Linked DNA regions of Ovis aries. The protein of the gene in region 2 interacts with the protein of the main gene of each other region in a pairwise test. Links are inferred from orthologs where the notes say so. Each region holds a gene or a part of one and is shown on either strand. Other genes may lie near its edges. The genes, in order: ROR2, DAZAP2, BAG3, BATF2, UBASH3B, UBXN6 and TENT5B.

What was found.
Region 1: the proteins of DAZAP2 (region 2) and ROR2 interact in binary tests that used the Homo sapiens proteins (3 or more experiments, as listed by UniProt). The two-hybrid records come from large-scale screens. The link is inferred for Ovis aries from reciprocal best matches to the Homo sapiens genes DAZAP2 and ROR2.
Region 3: the proteins of DAZAP2 (region 2) and BAG3 interact in binary tests that used the Homo sapiens proteins (3 or more experiments, as listed by UniProt). The two-hybrid records come from large-scale screens. The link is inferred for Ovis aries from reciprocal best matches to the Homo sapiens genes DAZAP2 and BAG3.
Region 4: the proteins of DAZAP2 (region 2) and BATF2 interact in binary tests that used the Homo sapiens proteins (3 or more experiments, as listed by UniProt). The two-hybrid records come from large-scale screens. The link is inferred for Ovis aries from reciprocal best matches to the Homo sapiens genes DAZAP2 and BATF2.
Region 5: the proteins of DAZAP2 (region 2) and UBASH3B interact in binary tests that used the Homo sapiens proteins (3 or more experiments, as listed by UniProt). The two-hybrid records come from large-scale screens. The link is inferred for Ovis aries from reciprocal best matches to the Homo sapiens genes DAZAP2 and UBASH3B.
Region 6: the proteins of DAZAP2 (region 2) and UBXN6 interact in binary tests that used the Homo sapiens proteins (3 or more experiments, as listed by UniProt). The link is inferred for Ovis aries from reciprocal best matches to the Homo sapiens genes DAZAP2 and UBXN6.
Region 7: the proteins of DAZAP2 (region 2) and TENT5B interact in binary tests that used the Homo sapiens proteins (3 or more experiments, as listed by UniProt). The two-hybrid records come from large-scale screens. The link is inferred for Ovis aries from reciprocal best matches to the Homo sapiens genes DAZAP2 and TENT5B.

What each region holds. Positions count from the first base shown.
Region 1 is NC_056055.1:26,772,711-26,776,489, forward strand, and holds part of ROR2 (tyrosine-protein kinase transmembrane receptor ROR2), read right to left. Parts: intron 2,189-3,779; coding exon 2,061-2,188; intron 1-2,060. UniProt on the Homo sapiens protein: Tyrosine-protein kinase receptor which may be involved in the early formation of the chondrocytes. It seems to be required for cartilage and growth plate development. Phosphorylates YWHAB, leading to induction of osteogenesis and bone formation.
Region 2 is NC_056056.1:134,989,054-134,993,518, reverse strand, and holds the start of DAZAP2 (DAZ-associated protein 2), read left to right. Parts: upstream 1-1,485; 5' UTR 1,486-1,567; coding exon 1,568-1,580; intron 1,581-2,582; coding exon 2,583-2,701; intron 2,702-3,115; coding exon 3,116-3,361; intron 3,362-4,277; coding exon 4,278-4,406; 3' UTR 4,407-4,465. UniProt on the Homo sapiens protein: In unstressed cells, promotes SIAH1-mediated polyubiquitination and degradation of the serine/threonine-protein kinase HIPK2, probably by acting as a loading factor that potentiates complex formation between HIPK2 and ubiquitin ligase SIAH1.
Region 3 is NC_056075.1:39,287,550-39,292,109, reverse strand, and holds the start of BAG3 (BAG family molecular chaperone regulator 3), read right to left. Parts: upstream 3,058-4,560; 5' UTR 2,705-3,057; coding exon 2,519-2,704; intron 1-2,518. UniProt on the Homo sapiens protein: Co-chaperone and adapter protein that connects different classes of molecular chaperones including heat shock proteins 70 (HSP70s), e.g. HSPA1A/HSP70 or HSPA8/HSC70, and small heat shock proteins (sHSPs), e.g. HSPB8.
Region 4 is NC_056074.1:39,662,187-39,666,393, forward strand, and holds the start of BATF2 (basic leucine zipper transcriptional factor ATF-like 2), read right to left. Parts: upstream 3,010-4,207; 5' UTR 2,939-3,009; coding exon 2,900-2,938; intron 1,366-2,899; coding exon 1,261-1,365; intron 1-1,260.
Region 5 is NC_056068.1:33,164,115-33,167,893, reverse strand, and holds part of UBASH3B (ubiquitin-associated and SH3 domain-containing protein B), read right to left. Parts: exon of another isoform or gene 866-3,779; coding exon 657-865; intron 1-656. UniProt on the Homo sapiens protein: Interferes with CBL-mediated down-regulation and degradation of receptor-type tyrosine kinases. Promotes accumulation of activated target receptors, such as T-cell receptors and EGFR, on the cell surface.
Region 6 is NC_056058.1:17,474,255-17,478,500, reverse strand, and holds the start of UBXN6 (UBX domain-containing protein 6), read right to left. Parts: upstream 2,942-4,246; 5' UTR 2,846-2,941; coding exon 2,763-2,845; intron 2,579-2,762; exon of another isoform or gene 1,921-2,578; intron 1-1,920. UniProt on the Homo sapiens protein: May negatively regulate the ATPase activity of VCP, an ATP-driven segregase that associates with different cofactors to control a wide variety of cellular processes.
Region 7 is NC_056055.1:239,939,156-239,943,468, reverse strand, and holds the start of TENT5B (terminal nucleotidyltransferase 5B), read right to left. Parts: upstream 3,074-4,313; 5' UTR 2,901-3,073; coding exon 2,637-2,900; intron 1-2,636. UniProt on the Homo sapiens protein: Catalyzes the transfer of one adenosine molecule from an ATP to an mRNA poly(A) tail bearing a 3'-OH terminal group in an ATP hydrolysis-dependent manner.

The DNA.
Region 1 (3,779 bases), on a different chromosome or scaffold from region 2:
AACGAACCCAGTTGAGTCTCATCATGTGAGCTGACAACTGTCTACCAGAAGATCTGTCACCAATTTTGGCCTCTACTCCCAGGCGGCAAAAGGCCTAAGAAAGCCAGAGGTGGCATCGCTTTGGGGATATCAACTAAGAGGATGTAAAGACCACCCCCTACAGGACTGCTCCTCTCCCCAATCCCGGAACCTATCAGGTGAGGACGTATTTCACGTGATGAAATAAGATGGTTCTAGGCATCACAGAGATCCAACAACTCATGTCCTTGTTTTCGTTTACATCCAGCACATCACTTTGATGGTTCTGGGGCTTATCCCTGGGAAGCTTCCAGTGTCCCTGGAACTCATTCTGACAAGCATTCTCTTCAAACAGACTGTATCCACAACCAACACAGTTTCTAAACCATCAGTCAGTCTAGAGCAACTTCACACTTAACATTTTCAAAAATCCACAAATCTAGAGAACCCTCATTCTAAACTTTTATCTTTAAAAAATGCTATAACATGAGTCTGCTTTGATATCTGAGTTGTTATCCTTTAAACTTCCTGAAGAAACAACTGAGAGACAGCCCTGTGCCTTGAATCAGTGTTTGCCAATTAGTGGGATACACAATTAATTCTGGAGTCTGTGGCTAGTATTTTAAACGATGATTAGAATGGAACAGAGGATGTCAGAGTGCATGGTTTATATTAAGGCTGGAAACAAGTTTTTTCTTTAATGAAATAAAACTGAAGGGAAAAATCAGCTTGCATTGCCTTTGTTGAAGTGAATGTTGTTTCCTGTAACCCATTTCAGTTCTATGAAGCAGATATATATGTATACTAAGTCACGATGTAAAGTATACTTTATGCTGTGGGTTGTGATCAGAAAGTTCAAGAAGTTCTGCTTTAAATGGCATAAGGAGCTTTTCCAATGAGAGATACAAACAAGTTCAAAACATGTGCCCACTGGACCATTACTGCCCTTCCAGGATCTTGGGGTCCCATTACTGCCCTTCCATTTCTCACTGGACACCTTACCGTGTCCTCAGGGGTCTCTGTAGCCATGGGCCAGGCAGGTTAGACCTTAGACCCTCCAGACTGAGGGTGAAAGACAAAGCCAGGATCAAACTGGACTTAGAAGAACATTCAGTGACACCTGCGTGAGTTTCTACCTGGGGTCCTCTTTGTACTCTTACAGGGCAGTGCTCTGCCAGCCTCTCTGCAAATCCCTCCAGAATCTCCAGGGAGCCCACATCAGGGATCAGCCTGGGTCAAGAATCACTGTGCAGAGAACCTAGTTCAACTGGGTCACCTGCCATCTTCACCCGATTCTCCCTGTTCCTTAAAGACTCTAAGGAGAAAATGTGGGGGTTTGTGAGGAGAGCAGAGACAGAGGGGGAGGGCTTTTTAGGGCCTTGGTTTAATTCATTTTCTCACTTCTCAAGGAGTGTCCCCCAGGAAGTTCTTAACATCAACTTCTAAAATGATGGAAAACGAGCACGTTCACTCCTAAAGGATCTGAACCACTTCTCATACATTGGAGCAGGTAACCGAAGACCTGACTATGCCCAGCAGCCAAGGGCTGGTGGGGGTCTGAGTTCACTGCAGGGTCCCTAGGGTACAGCTGTTGGCCTGGAACCTCTGTCCTCAATAGCTGAAATCTGGCCCAGGTACTTTGTACCCAAGCCAGGTTCCTTGTAACTCTGAGAAGGACAAGAGCTAGGAAAGGCAGAACCAAGACTGAACATCACAGGTGCGGGCCTGCCCATGAGGGTAGTGGAGGGAAACAAGACAACGCAGGGCTTGGGAGCCGCTCAACCGACTGAAGTCAGTGTGTTCGTACACTCCAGGCAGACTGCGCTTGCTAATTTGCATACACAAATAGGAATATTTTAGGATAAACTGCAACCACTTCTGATAAAGGCCTCTGATTTTCTCTTGCACGAGACATGACACAAGGATTCACTGGCCATGGTTGTAAGGGACAAAATACACAAATGGAATTGAAAACACACCAGCAGGGCGACAGGCAGCTGCATGCATGCTCAATGTCTCAGAACAGAGGACTGCACTCCTACCTGTGATTCGGTTTTCAATCTCCCCCTGCATCTGGAGAGAGTCCACATAAATGGTCCGGTTCCCAATGAAACGCGCACAGGCAATTCCCCGGTAAGGCTGGCAGAATCCATCCTCATGGTAGTCGTCTCTGGGAAAAACACACGATCCGTGAGCACACTGAAATTATCCCCAATGATTTTTTTTTCTCTTTTTAAATCCAGCATCTGGTGAGCTAGCCGTCTTGTCCCTTGGCATCTACCTGAATAAACTGGAAACTTCTGTCCACACAAAAACCTATGTGTGTGTGCTCAGTCATGTCTGACTCTTTGCAACTCCATGGACTGTAGCCTGCCAGGCTCCTCTGTCCATGGGATTTCCAAGGCAAGACTATTGGAGTGGGTTGCCATTTCCTACTCCAGGGGATCTGCCCAACCCAAGGAGTGAACCCATATCTCTTGTGTCTCCTGCATTGGCAGGTGGATTCTTTACCACTGCACCATCTGGGAAGCCCACAAAACACACACAGAGAGACATTTATAGCAGCTTAATCCATAACTGCCAAAACTTGGAAGCAGCCAAAATGTCCATAGTGAACAAAAAAACTGTGGCACATCCAGGCAATAGAATATTTACTCAGCACTGAAAAGAAAAGAGCAATCAAGAAAAGATATGAAAAAAAAAAAAACCCATGGAGGCAACTTAAATGCATGTTACTAAGTGAATGAAATCAGTCTGAAATGGCTGCATGCATACTGTGTGATCCCAATTCTATGACATTCTAGAAAAAGCAAAATTATGGAGCAGTAAGAACATAGATGAATGCCAAAGGGTTGGTGGTGGGGGTTGGTGACTAGGAAAACAGGAGATTTTTAGGGCAGTGGATCTACTCTGTATGATACTTTAATGGTGGATACATGTTATTTTACATTCGTGCAAACCAGAGAATACACAACACCAAGAGGGAACGAGCCTTATCGTAAATCATGCTGCTACTGCTCAGCCACTTCAGTCGTATCCAACTCTTTGTGACCCCATGGACTATAGCCTGGCCAGGCTCCTCTGTCCATGGGATTCTCCAGGCCAAGAATACTGGAGTGGGTTGCCATGCCCTCCTCCAGGGGATCCTCCTGACTTCAGCTAATAATAATGTATCAATACTGACTGGCTTATAGCTGTGGTGTTGGAGAAGACTCTTGAGAGTCCCTTGGACTGCAAGGAGATCCAACCAGTCCAGCCTAAAGGAAATCAGTCCTGAATATTCACTGGAAGGACTGATGTTGAAGCTGAAACTCCAATACTTCGGCCACCTGATGCGAAGAACTGATTCATTTGAAAAGACCCTGATGCGGGAAAGACTGAAGACGGGAGGAGAAGGGGACGACAGAGGATGAGATGGGTGGATGGCATCACTGACTCAATGGACATGAGTTTGAGTAAACTCCAGGAGTTAGTGATGGACAGGGAGGCTTGGCATGCTGCAGTCCATGGGGTCGCAAAGAGCCAGACATGACTGAGGAACTGAACTGAACTGAACTGGCTTATAAACTGTAACAAACGCACCATACTAACACAAGACGTTACTGATAGCGAAAATTGTATGTGGAGATGGGGGGAACGAGTACCAGAGCTTTCTCTATACTTTCTGTTCAATTTTTCTGTAAACTTAAAATTGACCTAAACTATCCAGTACTTTGGGCACCTCATGCAAAGAGCTGACTCATTGGAAAAGACTCTGATGT
Region 2 (4,465 bases):
CCTGGTGGGCTGCCGTCTATGGGGTCGCACAGAGTCGGACACGACTGAAGCGACTTAGCAGCAGCAGCAGCAGCAGTTGTGATAGGCAGAGTAAAGGGATAAGAACAAAACAAAACCAAACCACTGATTTGGGAACCGGGGTGGGGGTGGGGACCAAGATAACACACCTGACTTTGTAACCTGTTCACTGTGTGACTTAGGGCAAATCTCTCATTTGAAAAACAGAAATGCTTAAACAAGCCCTGCCTGCCACACAGGGCTGTTGTGAAGATCTGTGATGACTCCATAAAATCATGCATATTAATGGTGTCCTGCAAACTGTAATTTGACACTGGAGAGAAAAACAGCGGACTGCTGATGAAGTGAGTACTGGTCTTTTCAGTGGTTTAAGTCATTCAACAGCAAATATGGATCAGGTTGCTAATGTTTACCGAGGGTTTTTCTTTTCAAAGCTTTCTTTTCAGATGCTTTTCTAATGTTCTTCCTACACTACAGAATGTAAACCATGAGAAAATAGCCTTGGGCTGTCTTGTTCAGCTCCATCTCTGTACCTGAACACAGCAAGCGTTCAGCAAATATCTTAAAGAATGGAAGCAATTGTTGCCTTAAAGGATGGCATCTTTGCTCTTAAGAACGATTAAGTTAGAAGAGAAGGGATACACAGAGAAAATACCTATCAGGTACCATACAGGTGTCTGTGACAGGTATCAAAGTAAGGGCCAGGGCATGGGTACTCCTTGGGTACCAAGAACATGCGTTTTAGTGCTAGCTGTTGCAGCGGGGTGGGGCGGGGCACAGCACAGCATACCCTTTCTGTCGGTGAGAAAGCGACACAGAAATAAAACACCGACAGCCTATCGGTAGAATAGAAAGGCAGTGAAGACTTGAGTGAGGGGAACGAGAGATAGATCAAGGGTTGCGAAGCATCTCAGGCAGTTAGGTAAGATTGTAGAAATCTATGTCCCGTGTGTGTGTGTGTGTGTGTGTGTGTGTGTGTGTGTAGGAATCTATGTCCCGTGTGTGTGTGTGTGTGTGTGTTAGTTTCCGGTTCGGTCCATGGGAAATGGCAACCCACTCCAGTATTCTTGCCTGGAGAATCTCATGGACAGAGTCGCACAGAGTCGGACTCGACCGATGAGACTTAGCAAGCATGCATGCCCCTTGTAGAAAGGCTGTCAAGGTGAGGTGACCTTGAGGTGCTGAACGTAGGTGGAAAAAGGTTCCAGAGAATAGTTTAATGTTACTGCCTCCGAGCGTTCAAGAGAGAGAAGATCCCGTTTTGAGACAATACCTGTATTTGGTTTTCCTTCAGCCGAGGGACAAGGGTAGGGGTTGGAGGACCAGACCCGGTGGGCGGGGCCTACGCGAGCGGACGGGATCACGCGGGCCCTCCCTCCTGCAACCGGCGGCCGGGCGAAGGGGCGGGGTTTCCGGTGGCAGCGGCACTCGGGCGTCGGGTGACGCTAGGCGGACAGATCGTCACGTGACACGGAAGTGACTACGAACAGGAAGAGGACGAAAAAAATAACCGTCCGCGACGCCGAGCCGAGCCGGACCCGCAGCCACCATGAACAGCAAAGGCAAGGATAGGGGGTGGCTGAGGCCGCCGGGGGGACTAGTGCTGGCCCGGAACGAGCGGGCCCGGAGCCCAGGGTCACCGAACGCCAGGCCTGGGGCGAGGTGCGCCGCGCTCCTGAGCCAGCTGCAGTGCCCGGGGCTGCGCCAGACACCTTCGTCATTCCCGAACTACGGCCGTTCGCTCCCTCACGGCCCTTTCTCCCTTAAACTCTGTGGCGCAGTTTGGAGCTGCGGACTCGGGTTGGGGGGGGGCTGTTGGGTGGGTGGGTTGGGGGGGTGGGGAGAAGGTTTGTCGTGATGGGCATCTGTAGGAGCAAATGGGGAGCTGGAGGCGAGATTTGGGTAGGCCAATGGAGAACTGGCAGAGGCGGGGCGCCGCGCTCCGGAACCACAGGCAGGCCTCCGGGCTTAACTAGTAAAGTGCCGCTCTGGTGGGCGGGCCAGTCGGGCCCGAAGGGGGTCTCTTCCCCCTTACCCTCGCTGGCGGCCAGAAAGTCTCCCGGTTTCTGTGTCAGAACATTCCCTTCAGCCCCCTCCACGATCTCAGCATTCACTTCCACCACTCACTCTTTTCATTTGGAAGTCGACCTTGAGTAGGAACCTGTGAGGTCGATGACCACAACCACCGTTACTCACGAGGTCTTGGTCAGTTACAACCAGACCTTTGGAGACCACGCAGGACAGGGAGACAGGACACACCGTTGAAATACCGGCTAGAGGGGATGCCCAGAACTGCCCTGCGTTCTGAGAGGATCTTGGGCCCAGCTAGACTTTCCCCTTACAGCAGTCGGCTACTGGATGTCCAGTTGGAATCCAGCTTCTTCAGCTTTAAGGGTGCAACGAGAATGCTTATTTTCTTGGCTCCAGGAATCAGGCCCTCTAGGGCAGTCTGTTTGGAAATCTCTTTTTGCTTATCCCAGCTAGATTAGCTACCCAATATGCCCTGCTTTGTTTTGGTGACTGTATGGTAGACAACATGCTTTTTTTCCCCCCTTGTCTTCCAGGTCAATATCCAACGCAGCCAACTTACCCTGTGCAGCCTCCTGGGAACCCTGTGTACCCTCAGACCTTGCATCTTCCTCAGGCTCCACCCTATACTGATGCTCCACCTGCCTACTCAGAGGTGCTTCCAGTTAACTTAATAATGGAATACTCTTGGATCATGTTTTCGGTCCTTGGCCAAGTCTGGCTCCACACATTTATTTACTTTCCACAAACAGAAGAGAGTGCTCACATGAATCATCTTAAAACGTGACATAGTTCAGCCATTTCTTTTGGGTTTGAGAAGGCATTATCTGATTGTTTTATGTTATTTGGCACTGGCTGAAGTTAAGAAGATGAGTTTGCATTCCCTGAGCCTAACATTAGCTATAGCAGGAAGTGATCCAGGAGAATATTGAGTGGCAGTGGAAAGGCAACTTGTGTAACTCAAAGAGTGTAATCTGCACAAGGAGAATTAAGACTTGACTCATTAAATTGAGATCTGAAATAGGAATGTCATGAAGTAACTTATTGCCTTCTCTTCTGCCTCTTCTAGCTCTATCGTCCGAGCTTTGTGCACCCGGGGGCTGCCACCGTCCCCACCATGTCAGCTGCATTTCCTGGCGCCTCACTGTATCTTCCCATGGCCCAGTCTGTGGCTGTTGGACCTTTAGGTTCCACAATCCCCATGGCTTATTATCCAGTTGGTCCCATCTATCCACCTGGTTCAACAGTGCTGGTGGAAGGAGGGTATGATACAGGGGCCAGATTTGGAGCTGGCGCTACTGCCGGAAACATTCCTGTGAGTATGACTTGGTCACAAAAAAGCTCGACCCTTGTGTATTTTAACTTTCTGAAATGACTGGTCATCCTTTCATCATCCCTGGGTAATAGTTGCTGGTATTGGTGTAATAATCACTGACGTCCAGTAGTCAGGCAGAAAGCACTCAAAGGGGCAGGAGAACCGTGGCCAGTCAGTAACATCTGGCGTACTCACTGATGTTAGAATTTATCAGATTCCTTTGTTTTCCTGTCTTAGGAGTCCTGCCTGCTGCTTTTCCAGTTCACTTTGATACTAGTTTAGTAACACTCCTCATTCATTCCATAAGCATTTATTTATATGTGCCATCAGCATGGCATCGTATTAGGAACCATGACGATTAAAAAAACAATGCATAATCCCTATTAAATTGCATTTAGAGAGATACTAGGGATTTTAGCAATGTCTCTTGATTAGTTCCCCTATGTATGGGAATTAGAGCCCATATGGTCCTTGCTAGGACCATCTACTCAATAACCATAGGCTAGGGATGAAGTGAAAATGCTGTCATCAGGTAGAGCCTTCAGATTATCCAGGGCCATTTGAAAACTGTCAGGCCCTGTGATATAAGTCCCTGGACCTGGTACCCGCTCCGTTTTGGGATGTGAATAGGAGTGATTTTCTGCACTGAAAATGCCAAGTCTGGACTTCCCACACTTAGAAGGTATCCATAGGCTTTATTTTGGATCCAGAACCCTTTAAATGAGTGGGTTTCCTGTTTATATCTTTGGCCTTACAAAGAATGTAGACCTGCTGGACTCAGATTGGTGGCCCAGATAGCTCTTTGAGATGCCGCTGGTTAGCACACTGCCATCTTCCTGATTGGTCCTTTTTCACCTTTGTCCACTTCCCTCCCATAGCTGCCCTCTGCCCAATCAACCTTGTCTTTTCCTTTCAGCCTCCTCCCCCTGGATGCCCTCCCAATGCTGCTCAGCTGGCAGTCATGCAGGGAGCCAATGTCCTCGTAACTCAGCGGAAGGGAAACTTCTTCATGGGTGGCTCAGATGGTGGCTACACCATCTGGTGAAGAACCAAGGCCATCTCTATGCCGGGAAAGACATCACATACCTTCAGCACTTCTCACAA
Region 3 (4,560 bases), on a different chromosome or scaffold from region 2:
CTGGCATGCTGCAGTCCATGGGGTCCCAGAGAGCCAAACATGATTGAGCTACTGAACTGACTGAAAGAGTTTCCACTGTATTTATTTTCCATTGTATTTATTCTGGAGTGAGGTGTCATTCACAGAAGTTAAAGTGAATTAGTCACATAGTTGTTCTGTGTACATCAAAGCACAGTCTTGAAAGCCATGAAGCCCACAGAGCTAACGAAGTGAATGTTAGTTTTCTCCTTATGTTCTAGTGCCACGTTGAGAAATCTCAATTAATTTGGTAAGCAGCTCTTTTTTTGAGTTGATCACATCCAGCCATCACCATCCAAGTAGTCACAAAAGTCAGAAGGGCAGAAAAACAATCAAGTACTCCAGCCTTCCCAGTTCACACTTAAATTTCATAGAAATTTAAGAAATTTAAGACTCTTCTACCTTCCTCTGAACAATAAACTGCCTCTTAAATAGGACTTTCCGGTGTAGGTCTCTCTTTGCTATTGGTCCTGGCTGAATGGCCTTTGGAAACACATGTGAACTCTCTGGGTTTCTTTCTCAGAAAAAGAGAGGCTGAGCTAAAAGATCTTAAACGATCTTTCAACTTTAAAATTCTGTTAAATTTTCAAATCAACTTTTATGGCATCAAACTTCTGATTTACTAGCTCTTATGTTCTACTTGTTGAGAAAAATAACAGTAACTTAACCTGTTCCCCCCGCCCCCTTGCCTTGAAAAAGTTTGTAAAACCACAGCCTAACCATCCATCATACATAAGATCTCAACCTGCTGGGTGAGTTTCACGTTGAAAACCAAGCGCCAACAATGTGGCATGTACACTGAACTCACAGTGGATACGTTCCTACTTGACCTACACTCACCACCACTGACGCCAGTGGATTCTGACTCTTCCTGTCTCTATAGGAAGGAAGCCTCAAAAAGACAGGTTGGTTTTTTTTTTGGCCTCAGTAAAGATCTACACCCTTGCAGTCTGCAGTAACAGAGCTGGTTTAAAATGAGCTTTAGTTTCACTCAATAATGGGCTGAACAGACAAGCGAAAGGAATACATGGTTATGTCGATCCCAGCTAATTACAGCCTCTTGAAATAATTTTCAGGAATAAATATACAATTAATTTCTCATAAGCATAAGCTGCTGATTATACAATATCTCACTGTTGGGCACCAGAGTTTCATAAATATTTTAAAGGAAAAAGCTGCATAAAACTGAAGATGGTTAACACAGATTTTTTTCTTCTAAAACAATGGTTTATAAAACATTTTTAATTCTGTGAATTTTTAAATCTTAAAAATAACTTACCAGCTCTTTATGTCTTCTATTTTGCCCAGACTATTTCTTTTTGCCAAGCTTTACGTTTTGAAAAAGCTCAAAGTTATAAAAATTACAAGAGCAGTACAATTAGTTATAATTTTTTAAATTAACAGACTCATTCCAAGTTTATATTTTCAAATTTTCATGGTTCTAAGGATTAAGTAGTATATACACCCCTGCGTATATGTAAATGAGGCATACTTCTAATACAAAAGTATTACTACTAAATTATTTGTGTATTGGGGATAAGAAAAAATCCTAAATATTTTAGTAGCATAACGAGAAAGGGAATGTGTTGATTTTTTTTTTTTTTTAATCTCTTTCTGACCAGGGTGAGGCAGTATCTAAGGCAATAGTCAACTAGGAGACAGTCTCACATCTTCAGTTTAGAAATTGCCTGGAAGATTGCATCTTATTTTTAACAAGTCATACTAGAATATATTCCTAGTGAGGACAACTTTCAAACAATAATAGAGTTTTAATTTCAAATACAGAAGGGAAAAAATAAAGAAAAGGAATGCATTTACATCAGTCTCCTGAGTCACTCTGTGCCTGAGGTGGGAGAGTGAACTCCAGATACCCTCAACCAAGTTTAGGAACTTGAGGATGTAAAATTCCTAAGAGACCCTAAAGGACCCCCACAGAAGCTTGCCAACGGTCCCCTGGCGTCTGCCAAAGCACGGTCAGCAGAGAGAAAGGAGGATCTGAGCCCTGGAAGCCGGGTGGAGACCGTGGCAGGGCCTGGCCCGGGCCTTGGTGCTGAGCAGGCCGGCCACCCGTCGTCTCCTGGCCCAGGGCCCCTCGAATGGAGCCGGTGGACGGGACCTGGTGCCACCGCGCGGGTCCCGCTTCCCGCCCGACCCCCGGAAACCAAACACGGCCAAGGGAGGGCAGTCCTCTTGGGAAGCTCCCCAAACTGGCCCAGACGCCGGCCAAGGGCGGGCCTGGAGAGTGGGCTCGTGGGGGGCGCAGCAGGCCGACCCCCCTGGGAGCTGGCGTCCTTCTGGGGATCCGTGCATTCCAGGCGGCCTTCACTGACCTCCGAGGCACCGGCTGCGGCCGGCGGGCACCTGGCGCCTTGCGTCCCCGCAGCCGGGCCCAGTCCAGCCGCCCCCGCCCGGCCCTGTCCCTAGACTGGCCGTCGATGGGGGGCTGGGGGGAAGGTGGAGGGGGAGCCACTGGCAAGGGTGCGGCGCGGGCCTTGCTCACCTTGGGGCCCTCGGGGGGCACGCGCGGGTCGTTCCACGTCGTGGTGCGGTTGTTGTGGTCCACGAAGAAAGGCCAGCCGGTCTGCGGGTCGATCTTGATCTCCCAGCCGGGGGGCAGGGGGTCGCGGTCGCTGGCGCCGTTGCCGGACGCCATCTGCACCATGGGCGAGTGGGTGGCTGCGCTCATGCTGGGTCGGGGTCGGCCCGGAGGGGCGGCCGCCGGGGTGCTGGGTTGCAGGGTGCCTGGTCGCGGGGTGCCGGGTCACGGGGTCGCGGGGTGCCGGACCTCCAGGTGTAGGGTCGCTCGCTGGCCGCTGCCGGAGCGGAAAGTCGGGAGCGCCGCCGACGTGTCCGGGAAGCCGGCGCCGGGCACCTTTATGAATTAAAGGAGGGGGTGACGTGGCCGGAGAGGGCTGGAAGTGTCTGGAAATAGCCTCCTCGCTGCCAAAGGGGAAGGAGGAGATAAAGGGAGGTAGCAACTGGCCGGCTAGAAACTTCTGGTCCCATCCAGAGAAGTTGGCGGCGACGCGGGTTGGATGCGGAGCTCCGCCCTGAGTCATCAGCTATAATCGGGGCGGGGCGGGGCGTGGGCGGGGCGTGGGCGGGGCCTCCGCCGGCCGCCCCTCCTCCACCCCGCCACCTCTTCCCCCTATTCGCGGCTCCCCGGGTCGGGGGCTCCTGGCGGAGTCTTCCCTGAGCTGGGCGAGGGGTTTGCATCCGCGGGATCCCTGTGTCGCCGAGCGGCAGGTCGAGCGAACCCCCGGGGACGTCATCTGTGTGTCCTGGGCCGGTTTCGGTTTTCAGATTTGCTTGGTCTTCTTCGAGCCGCGTGGGTGTTCCCGGGACTGGCTCCTTCGTGTAAAAACAAACTCATCGTTAGCCTTTTAAGTCGTTGGGGATTAAACTAGAGTCTCTCCCACCTCGCCTTTGTACCCCCAGATTACTGATACTCCGGGACATTGGTGACCCTCAGTTAATCACTTTTCCCCATGGGCTTAAGGGCCGTCCGGAAAGGGCTCTGGAATGTTGATCCGACACCAGAAGCAAGCCAGGGCGAATAATGGAAGTACAAATAGAAATTCACCTGCCTTTCTTTCGAATCCTAAAGAAAGATTGCATCAGCGCATGCATGTTGCTGAAGCACATGTCTTAAACGTAGACTCTGTCGTTGCAGTGAAGAACTTTAAAGAAAAAACATTCTTTGGGGTTTGGGGCTTGTTGATGGTGCAAGTTGGTTCTTGCTATCTTAATCTGACCTTCATTTGGAAAGTAGTGTAAATCATGCGTGCTCAGTCACCTCCGACTCTTAGCGACCCTGTGGAGCCTGCCAGGCACCTCTGTCCAGGGAATAATACAGGAGTGGGTTGCCATTTCCCTCTCCAGGGGATCTTCCCGACCTAGGGATCAAACCCATGTTTCTTGCACTGCAGGCGGATTCTTTACCCACTGAGCCACCTGGGAAGCCCTTTGAAAAGTAGGAAAGAATACAAATTATGAAAAAAAATTTGTGTAATGAAATGGTGGTTGCACTTGTAACCTCCACCAAGCACCTCATTTCCTCTGGGAGAGAGAGAGAAAGTATGCCCCCAGAGGTGGTATGTTGGGAGGTCTCATTTTAGATTTTTAGGCCTGCAGGATCATTCCCTTCCCCAGAAACATTTTTGAGAAGATGCCTTGGGCTAAGTAATATTGGGCCCAATATTCCAACTCAAATGCAGAGGACATTCTGGAACCCTCAGAAACACTTTTTTGGAGTCTCTTCCCACCCCCAAATTACTCCTTTTAGAGCAAATGCTGAAGAGAACTGCCAATCATTTTCAATGGAATGGGGGTCTCACTTACATAGGTCTACTTACCAGCTTTGAAGTACAAAAACTCAGCTTTGTGAAAACACAGAGATGTTTAAGCCCTGTACTATGTCAGGCTTTCCAGGTGGCACAGAGGTAAAGAATCTACCTGCCAACAAGAAGATGCAGGTTTGATCCCTGAGTCAGGAAGTTCCCCTTGGAGAAGGAAATGGCAACCCACTCTAGTATTCTTGCC
Region 4 (4,207 bases), on a different chromosome or scaffold from region 2:
TTCACTCCAGAAAGAAATACTGAGTTCCTTCTATCTGCCAGGCACTGGTCCAGGTAATGGGGAGACAGTAGGCAGCAGAAGCATTCCCTGCCTTCAGGGTGCTTACAGTCTGGTGAGGAAGACAAGCAATGGTCAACATCTAAACTTGTGATGCAAGATCAGTGTTAACCAGAAAAATAAAGCAGAGTAATAGGTGAGGTCTATTTAGCTCAGATGTTTAGAAAGACCTCCTTTTGAGGCGGTGACATTGGAGCCAAACACCCAGCAAGGAGTGAAGATCTAGCTGGGCTGCTGTCTGAAGATAGAGGGAGCAGCCGGGGGAGCCCCTGAGGCTGGACATGCTCCATCAGGGAAGGAACACAGAGAACGAGGTGCAGGATGTTGGGAGGGGAAGGTGGACAGTGGGGGTGGGGTCGCAGAGAGCGTAGGACCTTTGGGTGTGGAGGGCTCTGAGGTTTACTCATTGCAGTAAGGACTATCGCATATGCAGCCCAACCAAAGGCCAGGTCCTGAACCTAGCTCTTACCGGTCCCCCCGAGGTGTGTCCTTTCTGCACAGAGGAAGAAGGGAAACCCCAAGGTCAGGTTAGCATCTGAGGTCAGGTTACCATCCAAGGTGAAGAGGCAAGTGTGAGTAGAGCCTCCCCACCCTCCACCCCACCAGGCTCCTTGGCCTCCTTTAGTCTTCACAAGGGTCCTGCCAGGGGGCAGGGATTTTTGGATGAGGACAGTGAAGCTCAGTGAAGGAAAAGACCTGCAGCTATGGAATGCAGCAGCTGGGACTCTAAAGCCAGCCCATCTTAACCCTGAACCAGTTTCTCGCAGACGGTCTTGGCCACTCACATCAGAACCCCGACAGGCAGGGTGATCGCCGCAGTGCAGCACCTCTGAGGTGGGTTCTGGATGGGCAGGGCTCAGGGACCTACCTTTGGATGAGGGCCTCACCTGGTCACTGGGCCAGGTTCTCCCTGTTTCCCTCCACTTCTTGTCTCCTCCCTCTAGACTGGGGGTGCCTTGAGGGCAGGCCTGGGCTGAGAATGCACTGTCATGCCCCTGGAGCCCAGCGTGCATCTGGCACACAATTTCTGCTCAGCACTCAGGAATTTCTGAATCTCAGCTGCAGAGCCCTCCTCTCTCCCCAGGTTCAGGGCCCCTGGCACCTACAGCAGTGCACCTACAGGGAACTGCTGATTAGTGGGACAGAGAAGAGGTGGCCAGCCCGGGTGAGTGACGTCGGGGATGGGAAGGGAGGCGTCCCCACCTGGTGCAGGGCATCCGCCTTGCTCGTGTGCTTCTGCCGGCTTCTCTGGGCGGCCGCCCGGTTCTTCTCTTTCTTCCTCAGCTGCCTCTGATGCTCCTCAGCGTCCTGTAGGGGCCCGACAGGGGCGGGCTAGCTGTAAAGCCATTCCCTTCTCTTTTGGGGGGTCAGCGCCATGCGGCCTGTGGCATCTTAGTTTAGCTCAGGTGTTTGGAAAGACCTTGTCCTACTGAAGCAGTGACATTTGAGCCAAACACCCAGCAAGGAGTGAGGGTCTAGCTGGGATGCTGTCTAAAGGCAGAGGGAGCCGCCAGGGTTCAAACCCGTGACCCCTAAATTGGAAGCCTGGAGACTTAACCACTGAACCACCAGGGAAGTCTCAGCCATATTCTTCTTGAATCAAGTCCCCGAGGGTCCCCTTTCCGCCAGAAGCCCTCTCTGGCTCCATCGGTTTCCACACACCCCATCACAAACACAGCACAGCTCGGTGGAATGCCAGCCTCACATCCGTACCACTCACAGCTCATGACGGGGTAGTACACGCCCCAGACAGAACCCGCTTCACACCTACAGGCTCCTTATGCACCGTGTTGCTCTGGGTAGATCATTCACTTCCCTGAGCCCCATTGCCTGATCTGCCCCAAATGGAGGCACTGGTGCCTTCCTCACCGGCTGGAAAGCTGGCAGGGGTTAATAAAAGTTGCTGTTGTTCTAATCACTACTGTTTCCACCGTTAAGGTGTTGATTTCTCTAGCCTGAGCTCCTTCTGTGAGGACGAGAGTGGGGGTGGTTCTGATTCTACTCTGTGTTCCCCTGCCCAGCTCAAGCCCAAAGCTGATATTCATTTATCCCACAAATATTTGCACACCTACTATGTGCCACGCACTGAGCTGAGGGGACGCAGCAGCAAACATAAGAGGCAGTACTTCCTGCCCTCAAGCTACTTGCATTCTAGTGGGCCAGCAGCCTAGAATGAGAGAATGAGTCCCTTCTGACAGAAGAGTGGACGCAGAGGGTGACAGCTGTGACTCTCCCCCTTCACTGGGGTTCATGAGCTTAGATGAATAGTTAACCCACATGCCCAGGGCTCTGGAAAATCAGACAAGCGGGAACACTGGAGACCCCACAACCCCCTCCCTCAGGTCACTCTGGGAGGTGTGTTCTGAGTGTGGGGACCTCAGGCAGGACCCTGGCCTCCCTCGCTGAGGACTCTGCAACTCCTAAGTTCCTGGCCACAGCAGGCCCCTTGCAGGTGCTGGGGGACTGAGAGACTGGAGCCTGGAGGGGAAAGACCCGCCATAAGAGAAGGGCCTGAGCCTCTGGTACTTGGGTTCTGGACTAGAGGCAAGGCCTCCAGGGGAGCTGTGGCCAGAAAGCTCGGGGAGGAAAGAGGAGGCTCCTGTAATGGCAGCGTAGGACAGGTAGGTGAGGAGAGAGCTGTAATCAGAGGCCAAGTTCTAAACTGAAGCCTGGATCTGCAATGTGAGAGCAGGAAAGCCCTCAAGCCAAACCCCTAAGGAGACTGAGGCCCAGAGACGGGTGTGTGAGGCCTGCGCTCCCCAGCCCCTGCGAACAGAGCCGGCCCCGGCACCCTGGGGCATATTCCCCTTCTTAGCCCCTGAACCTGCTCCCCTGCACTCACCGTCCTGGTCAGAGGCCCGTCGCCCCCGCAGAGGTGCATGGTGGGGAGGAGAACACGGGCTCACACCGGTGGGGCGTCCCTCAGCTGCTGTGACCTCCCAGTGCCCTCTTGGGGCCCAAGGAAGTGGCAGCTCTTTAAATCCCCGGTGACCACTCCGCCCCCAACAAGGCAAGTTTCAGTTTCTCCTAAAGCCACCAGCTGCTCAGAATCCCAGGCTCGGCTTGGCTCACGTGGCTGGAATTTCCTAACACATACGGGCCTTCCGGTTGGGCCCCTTTTCTGGGATGAGGACGGTGGAGTGTGGCCAGAGGAGGGGGGCTGAAGGCCAGGTGTGGGGAGGCTGCTGTAGGAGAGGGCGGGCAGGCTGCCAGAGACAGAGCCAAGAGGAGAAGCCAGTGGGGCACAGAGGGCTCACCAGGGATGTGGGGGCATCCCTGGGCTCCACAATTGCAGGAGCCAGGTTCACAGCCCACTTTTGGCTCGTTGGAGCTGTGCAGTTTTGAGAAGGTGATTTACCCTCTCTGAGCCTTAGTTGCCTCATCTGTAACGGGAGATGATATAGATATCCACTCACAGGCTTGATGTAGGGACTAAGCAAGATAATACGACCACCTCCCCCAACGCTGTGAGACTAATAATGTTGAGACAAGTCTGCAAAAATAAGCAACGGCCCTTAAATAGACGAACAGATGGCTAATGACTGTGTTTTCATACAACAGACCACGCAGCAGTAGAGAGAGTGACGTCTAGCAGTTAAGAGCACAGCTCCCAAGCTACGTGACTCGGGTATATTATTTCACCTTTCTGTGCCTCTGTTTCCAAATCTGTTAAGTGGGGACAAAGATAATTTTTTTGCTAAGGTTACGTATGTGAAGGCACCTGAAAGCATGCCTGGTGCAGAACGAGGGCTCAACAAATATTCACAATTGTGATGCGATGGAAGACTCAAAGCTGCGTGTATCATCATGTCTAAAAGTTCATTCCTTCCACTTGGAAGAAAATGACAAGTGGTAACCAGATCTGAATAACACCATTTCTGAAATGTTGAATAATACGGGTGTAATTATGTAGGAAAAGTATAAAAATATGCATGAGAATCAGAAACACAAAATTCAGAGAGTGGTGGCTTGCTGGGGGTGGAGGTGGAGAGGGACTAAAGGGGACCCACAGAGACTTCAGTGTGTCTGTGACATATCATTGCTTCAGCTGTGGGAACACACTTGTCTTGTGATAGTATTATTAGCTACACTCTGGGGTCCTGGAGAGGGAAAGGGCAACCCATTCCAGTATTCTTGCCTGGGAAATCCC
Region 5 (3,779 bases), on a different chromosome or scaffold from region 2:
AGGGCTGGCTCTGAACTTCCCGGATTAAGCACAAAAGAGGAACAAGAGACACCCATCAGGACAAAGCTGGTCGTACAGCACAGGCCACTCAACGTGGGAACAGGCTGGTCTGGGGGCACTCCACAGAAGACCTGGGTGGGGAAGGGCCAGCCTGCCTCTCTCAGCCTCTGGAGGTTACCCATTTCCATAGAAATGGTCTCTGTCATCCAGGCATTCATGTGCCAGGTCTGAGGACTGGGTCAGGCGGTCAGGTCCCCTGACCTTGGCAAACCTGTTCTCTACTGGCTGACTGGCATAGTGGGAATCTGTCCTGCTTCTCTGGGGAGTCTGTGCAATGACCCGGGACAAAGTGCACAGAAGCCCCAAAGCCATAAAGACTCGGCGGTGGGCTGACCCACACTGAGGCCAGAAGACATGTCCCCTAAGCAGCCTGTTTGGTCTCCGATGGAGAACTCTGACAGATGTTCCAGCCGTGGTGGCGGGTGGGGTAAAGCGGGGCATCCCGCTCTTCCCGTGCCCCAGCTCCGCCCTTCCCTGAACGTCTGGGGCCAAGAGCGCTGGACTCCACGCACTGCCGCCCTGCGTGTCCCGCCACCTCCTCAAGGGCCACAGTGTCCTTCGAAAAGCAGCAGGCAGAGAGCCCGGCATGGGCTCACCCGTGAAATATCCAGGTGCTGCACTCGTCGGCCTTGGTGATGTAGTTCTCCGGCAGGAGTCCAGAGCAGCCCGTGGTCAGGGAGGTGCCGTAGATCCAGCCCTCGCTGGTGCTGGTCTGCTCCATGGGCGACATGAAGATGAAGTCCCCGGGGACCAGCTCCAGCTCGTCGTCGTTCTGCGGGGTGTACGGGTAGATCACCTGCAGTGTCTGGAAAAGGGGGAGAGGGAGGCGTGAGGCCCACGCCTGACCAGCTCTGCTGAGCGCTCAGGGCCCGCCTGTGGGCTCTGCTTGCGTTCACGGGCACCTCTGGAGTCTGCAGGCTCCGCGTAGATCTGGATTCAGATCAGAAGGAGTTTCTCCTCCTCTCAGGATATGCTAGTGCTTCTGGCTCGTTCCAGACTTTCCTTCAGGCATAGCTTTGCTTCAAAAGACATGGCTTTTAGAAATTCGTATGAAAACCTGTAGGTTCTCCAGTAAACTGCTTTACAGACGGGTCTGGACCTCGTTTTCCCTGCTCTGTCTGCCACGTTGATGCCATAAGAGACCCTGGACACACAGCTCATGGAAAGGAGTCTTCCATGCAATGTCACCAACACCCAGATGAGAGACTCTGCTAGGAAGACTTTGGGGACGAAATGTCTCCTCTCCATGTAACTGAGCAGCTCAAATAAGACATGGTCCTGCCTTCAAAGAGCTTTCTTTAAACCTCCATAGTTAACAAAGACCTCGAAAGAAAAATATCTTTCACAGCCATCAGTGTCCTGTGTGTAACCAGCTCTTGTCAGTCAGCAGGTGGAGACCACGTGTTCCCTCTTTGGGCTCAGAAAAAGCCCCTTGGGCCAACCCCAGGCCATGTCACTTGTCTGATTTATTCCATATTTTGCCTCCTTATTTATTTTGCCTCACAGGCAGACGTATGAAGATACTCTGGAAAACATCTATTAATATTTTACTACTTTTCTGTTAACAGCAGGAGACCTCAATACTAAGGGAAATATTTTTCTATGTGTTTCATAAGAGGACACTAAGACGGAGCTGTTTTATCAGCTTTTCCTTCAATCCTGAAGCCACTAGAGGAAAGCTAAGTATTCTGGTTCCCACGTACGGGTTTTTAACTTTGTTTGGCCTCTGTTATTTCTCATCTGCAGGGGCTTCCCTGGTAGCTCAGATGGTAAAGAATCTGCCTGCAATGTTGGAGATCCAGGTTCAAACCCTGGGTCAAGAAGATCCCTTGGAAGAGGGTATGGGAACCCACTCCAGTATTCTTGCTTGGAGAATCCCATGGACAGACTAACCTGGTGGGCTACAGTCCATGGGATTACAAAGAGTTGGACACGACTGAGCGGCTACCATTTCATTTTCTCATCTGTAAAATAATACTTAGACTATAAAAGTTAAATGAGACAATCTAAGAAAACTCCTGAGGACTCTAGTACACAGAAGAGGTGTAATTATTTCTATTGAACCATGACTCCTGGCTTTCAAGGGGTTATCTTTCCATCAAGCTGATGCTAACCCCCAAAGTCTATGCTAGGTAGGCCTGTGAGCTAATCGGCTCCTTGGGGTCAAGGTGATCCATCAGATATCATAAAGAATTTCCTTCTGGAAATCTCTAACGAGAAGAGCCAGTAAAAATGATTTCCCCCCACCAGAGAATGAATGTGATAATGCACAGAACTCGAACGCCCCACTGGATTTCTGACATCCCTTTTATTTAGGGCACCCACTTCCTCTCCGAATCCTCACTCCAGCATCTATTGGCTCGAGATCTTCTTCCATCCCATCGACTCCCCACTCCTCTGTCAGATACACGCTCAAATTACATTTTCAAATGAACCAGGAAGGTTTTTTTGCTGGGTTGTTAAAAAACAGCTTAAGGAAAAAGAAAAAAATTCACAACCAACCACTTAAATCTCTAAGCTAGGTATGTGATGAGACACCAGAAGCAATGCTCCTTTTCCTGGAACAGGGTGGAGAGAGGCACCGAGTCACAGGAAACAAGTCTAAACTCAGGTTCCTTAGATGCTCAAGCGCAGCACAGTCTTGGGTAATGATGCCTCTGACTCAGCGGCAGGCGTTTCCTTTGAGAAACTCAAAAATGACAGGGAAGATCTCATCCCTCCTTTCACTTGGGGATGAGTCTTCTGGCTCTACGAGATCCCAGGGAGGTTGAGGTACAGAAAGGAGCCGAAGGTACAACTCCTAGGCAGAGAGCAGTTGCACAACAAGGAGCTTTGATTTACCGAATGAGCAATAAAGAAAATCAATGTACTGCAGCAAATCTCAAATTATAACCGGTGCTCAGGTCCCCATAGTTCTTTCCTGCTCACCGAAACTGCACGGCATGCAAAAGTCAGCCCAAGTTTGGGAGATCTCAGGACACACTGCCTAGTTTTGTCCTGAAAGTGTTAGTCACTCAGTTGGCGTCTGACTCTTTGCAAGTCCATGGACTGTAGCCCACATCAGGCTCCTCTGCCCGTGGGATTCTCCAGGCAAGGACAAGAGTGGGTTGCCATTCCCTTCTCCAAGTTTTGTCCTACATGATACTTACTCTCTTATGTCTAGCATCTACTTGTAAGAATTCTAGAGTCTATTTCAAATATGTTTTCCTCCCTTCCTACTTGGGGACTAAGCTCAAAGTTTGCTACCCTGGGAAGGGCAGGTACAGCCCTTTGTGATGATAGGAACTGACCCTCTTTGCCTTTGAAGCCTTTTTTACAGCTGTGGCAATTTTTGCTGTTGTTGCTGCACCCTCTCTTATGGGAGGCCCTCTAGTCCATACCAACAGTCTAGCAAAATGTCATCACTGTGTTGCACCCAAGAGAACTAAGGACTAGGTTACTATCTAGAAGCTGTAAAAGCAAATCTACTGCTAAAATAGGGAGTCAGGATTTGAAGCCATGTGTGCTAGGCGCCAAAATCTACGCTTTTCCTAGAACTCGGTCCTTCCTCTAGATTTCCAGTGCTTGGCACATTAACACTAGCATGGCACACTGAACGTGGAAGAGATGGTGTGAAGCACAAGCAGGCACGTGCAAGCCCACGAGTCAGCACCTGAACAGCAGAGGGGTGAGACCTCAGAGGATTCCTAGGCGTCACCTGCTGACTGTCCCTGCCTAAA
Region 6 (4,246 bases), on a different chromosome or scaffold from region 2:
TGGTCTGGGCCTCGGAGTCGTCACCTGTCAGGCAGGGGGAGAGCACACCCACTGTGTGCCCCCTCCCCCATGGGAGAGTCTCCACCCCTATTGTCTACAAGGGTAAGACCCAACCAGACTTCGTCTACTGAGCACCAACTGTGTGCCAGGTAGACAGCATGCCAGGAGCTAAGGCTCATCATGTCTATTCCTCAGGGCAATGTTCCTCCCTGCGAGGGCTCCAGACACTCTCTCAGAAGCCCCAGAGGCTCATGGAAGCTGGGGCAGTATGCCAGGCTGCACACAGGCCCTGTGTGAGGCAGGCTACAGAGATTTGGTTTGATATTGCCTCCACCCTGGGAAGCAGGGTGATTGCCCTGTAAGATGGGCACCCTCCAGCCCTGACCCAGCCGGGAAATGACCTGGCCTCCTCCTCATTCCAGCAGAGTCCTGCGTCCCACCCAGGTCTGACTCTGCCTTGCTCTCCTTCCCTCAGGACTCTCCCTTTGGGAGCTGGAATCATCTATGCTATATCTCAAGAGGGAGCCAAGAATCTGCGTTGATGGCCTTGCTGCACACACACCACCCCCGGGGTCCCCCTCTCTGCTCAGACACCCAGGGCAGCCCTCTTTTCTGATCCCTGATCCTCTTGCCCACCCTGTCCACAGCTGAAAGTTTCAGGCTGAAGAACAGACAAGTCACGTATGGATAGCTCTGCCCAAGCCCCACCATTGCATAAAAGCACCATTTTCCAAACCTTTCACTCCCCCCTCCTCCCTTCATCACTCATCCTGGCAGCCAGAGGGGTTCTTCTAAAACCCAGTCACTCCTCTGCATACACAGCCCCCTCACCCCAAGAACGACAAAACCCTGTTGCAAACACAGGCCCTGCACGAGCTGCCCCTTTCCCTCATTTGCTCCCATCTTTGCTCTGCTGCTCTTCCACCACAGGACCTTCACACTCTGCTTTCTGGGGGAGTATTCTTCCTGGGATGGACAGAGGCTACTTCAACAGTGCATGCGTGTGTATGGTATGGGTTGATTTCCACACGGCTAAATCTGAGCTCAAGCTTCCCCTTCTTAGAGAGACATTCTCAGACCACCTAACAGTCCCCAGCATCGCTGACAATCTCAACCTTGTTTTTTTCCCTTCATGGCCAACCTTCCGTCATTTATGTACTGGCTTACTTGTCCACCTCCCCTCACAGGAAGGGGAGCCCTGAGAGGGCAGGGATTCTCATGCCATGGCAGTTAGCTGTACACACACCCTGCGTCTCCAGGCTGGCTCCAGGCACATCACAGAAGCCCAAATTTCCACATGACTTCCCTCCCCTCTCCTTCCAGGCTTCCAGTCTGACAAAACCATCAGCCCTCACCTCCTTCCAGTCACACACAGTCCCAGCTGCTCCAGCTCCCACCTCCACTCACTACTTGATGGACAAATGATTGGACTCCCCTATTTGGCCCACGACTGTCCCTGGGCCCCTTTAAAGGGGTCCTCCTCCACCCCCCTACCCCCAGGCTCCCGGGACCTGCACTTTCCTGACTCACAGATCTGGCCCTCATGGGCCTCCTTCATCCCACTCAGTGATCCCTTCCCAAGAACCCCAGGGAACCCCCAAGCCTCATGACAGATGCCTGGATGTCCTTACCATGCACCCACTCTCCCTCACCCACCCCACTGCCTCAGCATTCCCTCACCAACCCTTACTGCCAGCCACCCAGTCTCTCCTCCCAGCCCCCACCTCTTCACAATCCCTTCCATTATGCCTCACAGACCCCCTCTCCCCAGGCTGACAACTTTCTTAAGTCACGCCCCATCCTAAACCCCCTCGGGCCCCCAAGCCCTCTCTGTAGCTCCCTGTAGGAATCCCAGCTCCTTCTAGACTCCTTCTGCTCATCCCTCCCCACTGTGGAGCCTTCTCAGCCCATCCACCTTACCTCTCCAGCTCATCACTATCTTCTGCTCAGCACTGGCCCCTCACACTTCCCCACGGAGTCTCCAGTGTGGCCCCAGGCCCCTCTCTTCAAGTTCTCCCCAGTCAAGTTACAGAGGCCTGGAAGTGCAGGCCACCTTCCCTCTCCTCCCAGGTCTCCCTCCGGAGCCTTCAGGCCACTCAGCGATCACCCACGAGGAGGACCCCCATCTCCTTCTAGTCGGAGTCCCCCAGGTCCTCACCTCCACCCACCTGCCTCCCTTCTCCTCCCAGATCTTCTACAGCCCCTCACAACGCCACTCACCTCCCCCTCCCCCCCGCAGTTCACCCGCACCTCCCAAGCCTGGCCACACCTCCAACAACGCCTAAGCCCTCCGGATCCTCACCTCCCGGCCACCCTCCTGCCCCACAACCAAGGCCCAGTTCTCTATCGCCACGGAGCTTAAGCTTCACGACTTTTTGCGACCCCAGCTCTTCTTGTTTCTCCAGGATCAGTCCCCAACCTCTGATCACCGAGATGCCCTCAGATCTTAGGCGATGACTTTTCAGGGGCCGTTCTCCGCATCCCTAGCCTCTCCCTTACCGCCCGCCCTAACCGACTAGGGTCTCTTAACCGACCCCTCAGTTCCTGCAGCCCCGCCCCCTCGAGCCTCGCTCCCTCTGCCCCGCCCCCAGAGGCCTCCCCTCCCCCTACTCCCACCCCTCCCTCGTGCCCCGCCCCCGGAGGTGTCCCCCACGTTCTCTCAGCCGCCCCTCCACGCCCCTCGCCTTCCCTAGACTTCCCGCGCCCCACCCCACCCGCCCGTCCCCGTCCCCGGGTCTCAAGCTTCAACGCCTGTCACGCACCCCGCCGACTCCGTGAGCTTCTGACCCGGTCCCGCGCTCTTGAACTTGATGTCGGCCTTGATCTCTTGGAAGAATTTCTTCATAGTGGCGGGGGGCCCGGCGGCTGGGGGCCGCGCGGGGGGGGGGGGTAGGGGGGGCGCAGGGCCCAGTACGGGAGGGGCCGGCAGGAGCCAACAACCGGAAAAAAAATACGCCGCCGCCGGAAGTCCCGCCTTCGCGAGGGCAGTCCACGTGACAATCGGCGCAGCGTGCCTCTCTAGATCTCTGCGTCTTGCTGGCCCAAAGTGACCACTCTGCACTCTCGGGGCGCGTCTCGGTGGTTCGTCGGGATTCTGTTGCCAGGGGCAACGACGGTGCTTCCAGAGGGAGGTGGTGCTTCCAGGAGGTTGTGCTTGAGCGCCTTCCACTGCGTTTCCCAAGGAGAGACAAGAGGGAGAGGGACAGGCCGAGGACCCCGCGGAGAAAGCGCTAGCCCTGTCCTTTTACTTACTCAAGAACCTTCCCTGACTACCCAGCGGTCACGTGAAAAAGTCCCAACTCTGTGTGGGGGCAAAGTCCCCACGACCCAGTCACGTGGTCAGCGCCAATAGTCCTCAACAAACACAATGTGGGAGAAAATGAAGAGGATGGGTCGCACAGAGCTAGGGCTTGGGGACCCCCGATGGCGGAACACCGAGGGGTTTAACTTAAAGAGATCGGACATTATCCTCAGAGTGCTGACGGAGTTCAACGAAGTGCAGCCCAAACTTTAACCTTCCTGAACTTTATTTTCCTAGCTATGAAATGAGTATACGAATAGCACCGGCTTCATAGAGGTCGTGAGGACAATGCTGCAATTCGAAATCCCTGAATAAATTGCGGACGTTATCATGATTTTGTTATTGTTCAGTCGCCAAGTCGTGTCCGACTCTTTGCTACCCCATGGACTGCAGATTTACTTCTTTAAGAACAGTTCTTGAGAGTCCTTTCTGTACCAGCAGTGAAGAAAACAAAATCCCATGCCTCAAAGAACTCGTGATCTTTTTGATTGGAGGAGAGCCAGAAAATAAAAAATCTATGGTGGAGTGGATGGTGTTAGTGGTATGGAGAAAAATTAAGCGGGAAACAGGATTGAGGGGATGGGAGGGTGGAGGCAGTTTGTAACATCAAATAAGAATCCGACACAGGAAAAGAGCTTGCTTGAGACCACCAGGGAAATTTGATTGGATCCAAGTGTTAGATGATATAAAGGAGCTATTGTTGATTTTGTTAAGAATGGTAATGACATTGTAGTGATGTTTAAAAATAAATTTTTTTCAGCTAGAAATATTTTCTGAGGTATTTGTGGGTGAAATAACATCTCAGATAGGTTTTCGTTTTTATTAAAATTTTTTATATGAGCCATTTTTATCAGATATTTTTAAAAATACTCCAGAAAACGGACTTCCCTGTCAGTCCAATGGTTAAGACTTAGCCTTCCCATTCAGGGGCTGCAGGTTCAATCT
Region 7 (4,313 bases), on a different chromosome or scaffold from region 2:
TAGGTCCTGTCAGCCAGCAGGCTTACAAAACTTGAGTCTGGAGCCACCTAATACAGGCCCTTTGGCTGCAGCTGGAGAGATCAGAGACGAGTTCAATCCTCTGAACCCAGAGAGGGCAGAGGACTTGTTTAGGGACACACAGTCAATAAGTGGCTGAACTTAAGTAGAGTCAGTTCTCCCAGAACTATGTTCCAGGGGGTGGGGTGGGGGTGGGGGCCTCCTACAGGAGAGTAGGTTCCTCTAGCCCAGGTACAAGCAGGAATCGTATCTCTAAATGCCCAGATTACTGCTGGGCAAAGCTTGTTGGGGGGCAGAGAGGGAGAAAGTTTCCAATTCTTGAACCATGGGACAACTCAGCACAGGTGAGAAGCCCAAAGTCAACAAACCAGCATCTCCCACCACATACACACAAACAGGACCCCCTGCCACCACCCGCCCCCCATACACATACACACACACATCCCAATAGCTTGTGAAGCTGCCAGCTACAAATTCCTGACAGAAGATGGACTTTCTTCCCTGTGGAGGCATTTGTACAGGCCACGTAAAGGACCCTTTGGATTCTGGAAGCAGAAGGGGCAATGGAGAGCAGTTCAACCCATCCCCATTGAACAAAAAGGGACACTGGGTTTCCCAGGGGGTACTACTGGTGAAGAACCCACCTGCCAATGCAGGCGATGTTAGAAACGCAGGATGGACCCCTGGGTTGGGAAGATTCCCCAGGAAGAGGGCATGGCAACCCACTCCAGTATTCTTGCTTGGAGAATCCCATGGACAGAGGAGCCTGGTGGGCTACAATGCATAGGGTTCCACAGAGTTGGACTTTGCTAAAGCAACTTCGCACGCACAGGGCCAGCAAAGGGAATTGACAATGGTCCAGGCCCTGAAACTAGATGTCCAGCCTTCCAGTCCAACTCTCTAAGTCGCCACTGTCCTCCTCCCCCCAACAGCCGGCAGTTCCCTGGTCTGTGTATTTCTGACCCTAGTCTAGGAGACATTGTACTTTTATCACATTGTAGAGTCAGCTCCTATTGACCTGCAGTCTTCCCCACCTGGATGGGAGTAGCTGGAAAGCCAGGGGGCTGGGTCTCAGTCACATCTGTGCCCCTGGTGTCCTGAACAGGGCTTGGCACGGAGAACATACCAGTAAAGGCAGTTTGGACCATACTGACAGGGGCAGGGACCTCCCCTTAGGGCACCCCAAGTCCCTGCAGAGAAGAACTCCCACACTGGGCTCATGCCTGGGATAATAGTCCTGGGGATATAGCATTTGGGGCCCCAAGTTTGACCTGACTGTCAAGGAGGAGAAAAACCTCAACTGGTTCCTAATTGCCCCATAACAGCGGGGCAGCCCAGGAATGCCTCGCCACTGATGACTCAACCCTAGGGAATCTGCCCCCACCCCCTCCCATTCCTTGAGAGGGAGGGAGAGGTAATCCCACAACAAGCAACCCTCCCCCTCTGTGGAAGCTAAGACAGAAGAGCCAGGGATGGGGGGTGGTCTGCTTTACCTGGCTTGCATGTCTACTTCCCCATCTGCTGCCAGGAATATGCAGGAATTGCAGCTAGATTTTCTGGTTTCTTCTAACTGCTAAGACCTACAAATTGAATCTTGGGAACTTGGGAAGTCTTGGGGAAAAATGGGAAAGCCTTGAACTTGTAGTAACCAGCTCCTGGGAAGACCAAAGATTCTCTGGGTTTGCTTTTCACCTCTAGGAAATCTTAGGGAGCTCACGGCCCTTCTTGGGGCCTCAGCTTCCCCAGCTATAAAATAGGTACAGTAATTACCATATTATGGTATTTCAGAGCATGACAGTGCCTGGGCTATATAGGTGAAAGAGCAATTTTAGGGTTGTTGAGGGCCAGGTAAAGGGAAGAGGGAGTCTGTGGAACAGGAAAGGAGTTGCCAGAATTCTCTTCCCCTCAGGAGAGAGATGGGGCTTGGGGCCAGAGACTCAACCCTCATTTCCAATCTTGGGAAAGGAAAGAAACAGCTAAACTGGACACCTGATGTCCCCCCACCCCACCCCGCACACAGGCATCAGGTGCCTCATGCTTAATCTCTTCCTGCCACACAACCCCAGTTGAGAGGGAGTCCTAGCTGGAATTTCTCAGCTTTCCGGAGGGGGCTCTTGAGCCGTGGGCTGTGGGAGCAGAGGACAGAGAGAATCTGCTCCTAAATCTCAAGAGAGGGAAAGGGTTGGGCATGAGACCTGGGGATGACGGTTTGGAGATGAAAAGAACTATCTCGGGTTCAAGCGTGCAAAACTACCCAAGCTACCCACCCAGGGCTGCCTGGCAACTCCTGTCCTTGCAGGCGGGGCTGTTCTTCCTCCCAGGCCAGGTCCCTCCCCACTTCCCGCCCCCTCCAGCCAGGACCTAGGTAAACGGTCCGAGGGCCATCGGGGCTCCTCAAGGGGCGGGGGACAGGAAAGTCAAGTGGGGAAAAAAGATTATGAGATGCGGGGGTAGTAGGATGTGGACTCCCATCAAGGTTGCGCGATTTTGTTACAGCTCTTGTCCTTCCCCGAGCCTTGTTTTCCTAGCTGTCCAACAAATCGAACAGACTCCGGGAACCTTGCAGCCACGAGAGCCTCAGGATGGAGACTTCCTATCCACCGCCCAGTGCCTCTCACCTGCACGATCTGCCGGGGCTGCACGCTTAGCGTGGGGAAGTTGCCGCGCCCGTGAATGGGAATCGGCTCGCTCAGGAGCGCATCCAGCCGCTTCACCTGCGGCCAGCTCAACCCGCTCAGGTGCTGTCCGAGGGAGGCCGATGAGGCCTCCGGGTCGGGGCCGCCGCCTGCCGGGGCGGCCTTAGCCACCGCCGCGGCCGCAGCCGTCCCCACCTGTGCAGCCGCCCGGTCCCGGCTCTCCGTTTCGCTCTCCGACGGCATCATTAGCCCGGCCCCGGGGCCCCGACGGCAGAAACCGGGGGGCGATTAAGGGGAGGAGGGCCGGGAGAGCGGCTGGGCCCCGACCAACGCGGAGGACGCAGGGACCGGACAGCAGCGACGGCGAGGCAAACCCAGAGCACACCTCCGACGGCGACGACCAACCGACCCTAAAGCTTGTCGCCCGGGGCCCCGCGGACTCTTATAGGCCGCGGGCGACACACCCATTGGTCCGAGCAGCTGTCACCCAGCGGGAACCGCCCCGCCTCTCGACGCGCCTGCCATTGGTCAGCAAAGCTTTGCACGTGAGTCACTGGTCGCCAGGAGGATTCCGATTGGTTGGATGGCACACCCCTGCCCGTCCTCCTGCTCCGGCTTAATTCCCTCCTTTGGTCCTTAAAGAACTTCTGTTCTCGGTGATTGGCTCGGGCCGAAGGCAAGTCCTGGATTTAAAGGGACTGCGCCCTCCAGGGGCAGACGAGAAGGAAGTGACCTGTGAAGTTTGTAGCGAAATTGGACCACTAAGCTCTTTTTTTTTTTTTTTTTTTTTGCACTGGAAGGAATTTAGAAATCACTGGGCCTGGTCCTAGTCATCCACTATTTTCAGAAGCTCAGAGAGACTGCGCCAATTGTTCGACTTCACACCGTGCTCCTCCTGCTCTCAGGCAATCTTCCAGAGTTGAGAAAAGGTGACGAACTTGTATACCGAGGTAGATACTTTGTAATGTACTCTCCTGAGCACACCTCTACCTGGCTAGCGTTAATGTTTTGGTTTGTGGGCCTGCTCAGTCGCTTCAGTCGTATCCGACTCTGAGACTCTATGGGCTGTAGTCCAGGCTCCTGTGTACATGTGACTCTCCAAGCAGGATATTCAATGGAGTGGGTTTCCATGCCCTCCGCCAGGGGATCTTCCCGACCCAGGGATCGAACCTGTGTCTCCCGGGTCTCCTGATTTGTAGGCGGATTCTTTACCCACTGAGCCACCTGGGAAGCCCCATGTTTTGGTTTAGGGATGAGGAAACCTGCTCAGAGAAGGGGCTTGACTGTCTCAAGGTCACACAGCAAGTGAGACAGGCCCTGGTGTTGAACCTGCACTAGAGAGTCTGCAGGCACTTGCTCTTTCCACTACACTTGAGCAGACTCAGGGCCTTCACAGGGCTGGAGGTTGGAGGGAAGCCTGAGCTGGAGTGTTGGTCTTCTGGCAGCAGCTTCCTGGGCAGCAGGTGGAAGTCCTTCCTGCCAGCCTCTTAGCTTCTCAGGTCCTGGTGCCTTGGGCAAGTCCCTAAATCTAAGTCGGTTTCCTCATCTACTCCAGAGAAGGGGCTCAATAAATATATATATTCTTAATTTGGTTTGGTTATTTATAGTTGGCAAAACATATTCATGTGTTCTATTGAAATAATACATTTACATGTTTTT